Linked DNA regions of Kluyveromyces lactis. Each later gene encodes a partner of the first gene's protein in a complex. Links are inferred from orthologs where the notes say so. Each region holds a gene or a part of one and is shown on either strand. Other genes may lie near its edges.

Region 1 (2,198 bases):
AGTGATGATTTGAAATATACTTTGTACAAAAATGGAGCAGAATGTCCAATATGTTTCCTCTACTTTCCTAAGCCTTTGAATATTTCCAGATGTTGCAAGCAACCGATCTGTACTGAATGCTTCGTCCAAATCAAGCGTGCCGCACCACACTTCCCGCATGAAGAGGTAGATCCAACTCAAGATCAAGAACCGGACGAATTGAAGGATCCCAACCTTCTTGTCAGTGAACCTGCCAATTGCCCTTACTGTGCCACTGCAGAGTTTGGTGTAACATACGAACCGCGCAGGGACGTGCGGACTGGAATCAACGGGATCTACGCTTCCGAATACAAGATTGCCGAATACAAGGACCGTGAAGGCCTAGTATCGGATTCTAGCAGCAATGAAGATGACGAACTCGTAACTATAGAACAAATTCGTAGGGGCTCAATAGCAGCCGATGATCCGTCTGTGATAACATCCGATTCTATAAGACCTGACTGGGAGATCAATCTAACCAAAGAAAGATTAAGACTCGCTAGAAGATCAGCAAAAGCTACTGCAATACACATGAGTAATCAATTAATTGATCCCGAACACCCTTCTAGACACGCATCCATTTCTTCTTCAGTTGGAGGCCCTGACGGAGGGAATAGTCCTCAACGTCGTCAGAAAACATTAGAAGAACTGGATGACGAAATGCTCCAACAAGCAATCAAACTAAGTTTGCAGGATCATTAACCTAATTTGGAGCTTATTTCATGAACTGAAAGCATTTTCTCCTGCACTGCTGTCTCCTTCATTACCTTCACGACTAACGACAGATACAATCAACACATTCGCAAATTACTTCACTTTGCATGCATCTTTTAACAATCCCATAACTTTCGCATCATACCTTAAGATACAAGGTACACTCATCAGTAACACTGCGCGCGAGTATATATATGTTTATAAAACATAGAATATTATGTGGAATATAGCACCCATCTGCGGACTCACTCCGACTCAATATCAGGGATTCTCCCTTGTACATCTACGCTGACTCTGTACATCCAGCGTTTCATGCAGAAACATTATATCACATCACACGAATTATCATGCCTGACGAAACCACGCAGCTTTTCCTGAAATTTTTCACCTTTCCACGATGAGATGTGAAATATCAATAAAACTTACAGGAGTAACCATTTAACATTTCGATAGGAAAAGTATTTGTTTTACACATGATGGCATTTGTTCAATTTGAAGCTTCTTTTATGAAATATTCTTATTACTTATATCGTTTTATTATTTAGTTTCTCTTATTTTCAAAGGACCAAAGAAATAGTCTGCTTCATTACGAGCTTAATCTGATTATCTCTACACTTGCCAGAACCAGGAAATTTTACATTAGAAATGTCTGTTGAAACTGCTTTGTCTTACGCTGCTTTGATCTTGGCTGATGCTGATATCGAAGTCTCTTCTGAAAAGTTGTTGGCTTTGACTGAAGCTGCCAACGTCCCAGTTGAAGGTATCTGGGCTGATATCTTTGCTAAGGCTTTGGCTAAGCAAAACATCAAGGACTTGTTGGTCAAGTTCGAAGCTGGTGCTGGTGGTGCTGCTCCAGTTGCTACTGGTGGTGCTGCTGCCGGTGCCGAAGAAGCTGCTGCTGAAGAAAAGGAAGAAGAAGCCAAGGAAGAATCCGATGATGACATGGGTTTCGGTTTGTTCGATTAAATTAGGTTAACTTTTAACATAGGAGGAATAAATTCTGTTTTTATTACTAGCGCATTAAGCTACTACTTACTACGTTAAATTTGAGAATCAAATAACACATCATTTGAGTGTATACACAAATATGTATATATAATCAACCGTTTTTAATACACAAACGTCCAATCTTCAAAGCATCTCATCACTAGTGACACTTTGAAATATAAGTAGGATCGTATAAGGTTCCATAATATCATTAGACAAATTGATAATCTGATAATTTGAATTAGATGTAAAATATTATAGTTTATACGTTTTTTTACACGGTAGACAATGTCTCATAATTACCAAACAGGAAACTTATTGAGAAAGGGGATGCGGTGACATTAATTCTTAATGACGGAAAGATAATTTGATTAAAAGATATTTATAAAATAAAACAACGTTTTGTCTAGTATTTGAATAAAAGGTATGGAGTTGCTTATTTCTTCTTTTCAGCTTCAGCTTCAGCCTTGTCCTTAGCT
Region 2 (3,265 bases), on another chromosome or scaffold:
CTGATTCAGCAAGAACATGTGAATCATGATAAGACGCACAAGCCAGAGACAGAGACGTACTGTTTCTGTAGAGATGTGTCGTATGGACCCATGGTTGCTTGTGATAATGAATCTTGTGCCATCGAATGGTTCCATTACCCCTGTGTAGGATTATCAGCCGCACCCAAACCCAATGAGAAATGGTTTTGTAGTGACATGTGTAGGAAACAGTACTCCAATCATCGGAAAAAGAGCAAGAGAAGAAAGCGTTGATGAAGACCGCGGAGGCTCTTCAGTGCTTCTCCAGAAAAATAACTTGCAAGAAGGAAGCGCGTGTAATTATTATTTATTCAAATGCTAATATTTTCATATTTAAAGATAGTTGTCAAAACAACAGGAAATATTATGAACCAGCCGATGGGATAGTGAAAGAAAGTGTAAACACTTTCTTGAGTACTCCAAAACTAGTCTATAAAATTACAGCATGCAAAGCTTTTTACTCAATTCGACTCTATTAGAGTTGAGGAGTTTATAAGTCCTTCTTCAAAGTACCCAAGAAAGCGTGCTTTTCAGCTGGGGTTTGGAATCTACCCTTACCGAACTTAGAAGCAGTGTCGATCCACTTCAAGGTAACTTCTTCCAAGGCCTTTCTGGAGGTGTTGGTGTACAAGGACTTTCTTAAAGTAACAACTCTCTTTCTGGTACCTGGGATAGAACCCTTCAAGATAACGAAATCATTGTTGATAGCACCGTAGTGGACGAAACCACCCATTGGGGTGATGGTCTTCTTGGTTCTGTCGAATTCGGTAGCGGCGTTAGCTTCGTCGTCACCCTTACCAACTCTGTAGACCTTGTGGTTAATAGAGGTTCTGTGGTGGTAACCTCTTTGACCAGCTCTAGCAACGGACCACATAACGTGGGCTGGATGCCAAGCACCGATACAAGCAACCTTTCTCAAACCTCTGTGGGTCTTTCTTGGAAGCTTCTTGGTACCCCATCTGTGGGTAACACCTTCGAAACCGTGACCCTTGGTAACGGCAACGACATCGATCATTTCGTTTTGTTCGAAGACAGAGTCAACGGCAACGGTCTTTTCGAAGTGTTCCTTAGCCCAGTCAACCTTGTCAGAGACAGAACCACCGTTCAATTGGATTTCAGCCAAATGAGCCTTCTTTTGAGACAATGGAGTCTTTCTGACTTGGGTGTGGACCAAGACTCTAACAACAGAAGCGTACTTCTTGATTCTGGCCAATTCTCTGTCGACTTGGGCACCGTTTTCAGCGTACTTAGCAGAGTACTTGGTGAAAGCCTTCTTCTTGGACTTGTACCAGTTCTTGTAGAATCTTCTCTTGACTTCGTCGGACAAATGTTCAGCCCAGACGGTGGTCAAGGATCTCAAACCTCTTGGGGTTTCAACGTAACCAACAACACCGACAACAACGATTGGTGGGGTGTCAACAACGGTAACAGCTTCAACAACTTCACGCTTGTGGAACTTGGAACCTGGTCTGTCCAAGTCTCTAACGATAGTGGACATACCAGCCTTGTAACCCAAGAAAGAGGTCAAAGCAACTGGCTTAGTTTGGTCGTCCTTTGGGAAAGACTTAACTCTACCTCTAACAGAGGCAGCTCTCTTTCTTGGCAAGAAACCTAAATGACCGTGACGTGGAGCTTCGTACTTTCTGTGAGACATTGTGTATTAATATTAACTAGCTAGAGCTGTGGTTACCGTTCTAGAGTTTTGCGATGGGGAAGGGAAATAAACAAAGTAGATACCATTAAACACTTTCAACTTTACATATGATGAGATGAAGAACTATTAAAAATTTTTCACTTGATTTTTTCATGTTTTTTAAATAGTCCAAGCTTCGATGCGATGAGATGTGAAAAAAATTTTTTTCTTCAAGATCGCTTGGAGATGAGAGACGAGAAAGTTCGTGAAAGGTGATTTAAATAGGAGAAAGTACTATCATTAGATACGTCCATAGGTAAAAATACAAAAATCACAGAAAGACGGGGTAACAGTGCATATAGAATCCGCCCACGTGACTTGTTCTTTTTTTTCTGTTTTTCCCCTCTGAAACGCAGTTTACCCCCCATTTATCGGTTCGCCTTTGGTCCTGACGAAATGACGGCGGGAGGCACCTATCTTTTTCAAATGGTAAACAAATGACACAACGATGGAGCCAACAAGTATTAAACAAAAATGCACGGAAAAGAAGAAAACCACAGTGAAACTACATTCAACTGTTATCAATCACTAACGACAACAACAAAAACAGAGACGTGTGCAGATCAACACGATTTATTACCACTACGTAATGTGACGAACTGAGATCTCCAAAAAGTCTCACCATCAAGTTGTTCCTCACACCATTCGGAAAAACCTTACGAGACGAATCCCGGAAAAACAACACTGCCGTTTTTCCCGCTTCTTCCTACGACACCCACTGCGCACCTCCGCTAGAGCTGGATACTCAAGCTGTTTTATTTCTGTCAAATCTCCTTCTCCAACCAGTCGGAAAAACTTTTCTGGCTCCCCATCGAAACAACAGGTCGCCCCGTACAGATCTTTCCGAAAGGAAAAGCAATAAGCGAAGAAAAAGAAAACACACCCGGGCATCAGCCCGGGTAATACATAGGTCTCGTAGATGTTTTTCTTCTTGTCCCCCCTTGTGATTCTAAGAGAACCATAGAAAGAAAAAACAATTTTATGATTTTTTCGGATTCCCGCCCCACTATTCTTTGGAAAAATAACCGTTTTCTACTGCACATTCTAGCTGCGGAAAGGAGAACCACTTTTCCGAGCAACCTCTTTTGGCTGTTTTTCTCTTTTTCTGCAAATAATTACAGTGAAAGCTCCATATTGTTTTTCTTTTAGATTCAGGTAACCAACCACTGGGAAAAGTACCGGGGTCTGGTTGGAATCTCAGTTGGATGACTCTGAATTGACACTGCTGACACGCTTGGAAATATAGTATTGTAGCTCTATTGTCTGTGGTACCTTAGATAAATCGGAGTGGGTTCACCTTTCCGGTCCAAATTGTTCGACCACAAGAAACGGTGCACCGGCGTGTTAAATACCGGGTTCTTGAAATTCATATATTGCGAGTTTTCCATGCTTCCTGGTGTCTCTTTATCTGAATATTATATTCTTTCTGAAAAGATTTGTAAATTATATAACGGTTGAACAAACTACAAAAGAAATAGTAGTTATTGTTCAAAGGTCGAAGGCTTTTTTATATATAAGAGCACCATAAGTGTATCTTTGTTCAATTAATCCGTT

The links. The genes of interacting proteins can lie anywhere in the genome.
Region 2: RPP1A (region 1) and RPL3 share a complex: the UniProt entries of both Saccharomyces cerevisiae proteins name them as parts of the large ribosomal subunit. The link is inferred for Kluyveromyces lactis from reciprocal best matches to the Saccharomyces cerevisiae genes RPP1A and RPL3.

Annotation. Positions count from the first base shown.
Region 1 is NC_006041.1:1,966,815-1,969,012, reverse strand, and holds RPP1A (ribosomal protein P1), read left to right. Parts: upstream 1-1,377; coding exon 1,378-1,698; downstream 1,699-2,198. Other genes in the region: SIP5 (Sip5p), read left to right, coding at 1-720; KLLA0_E22001g (60S ribosomal protein eL13), read right to left, coding at 2,156-2,198. UniProt on the Saccharomyces cerevisiae protein: Component of the ribosome, a large ribonucleoprotein complex responsible for the synthesis of proteins in the cell.
Region 2 is NC_006042.1:1,522,302-1,525,566, reverse strand, and holds RPL3 (60S ribosomal protein uL3), read right to left. Parts: upstream 1,673-3,265; coding exon 509-1,672; downstream 1-508. Other genes in the region: YNG1 (Yng1p), read left to right, coding at 1-252. UniProt on the Saccharomyces cerevisiae protein: Component of the ribosome, a large ribonucleoprotein complex responsible for the synthesis of proteins in the cell.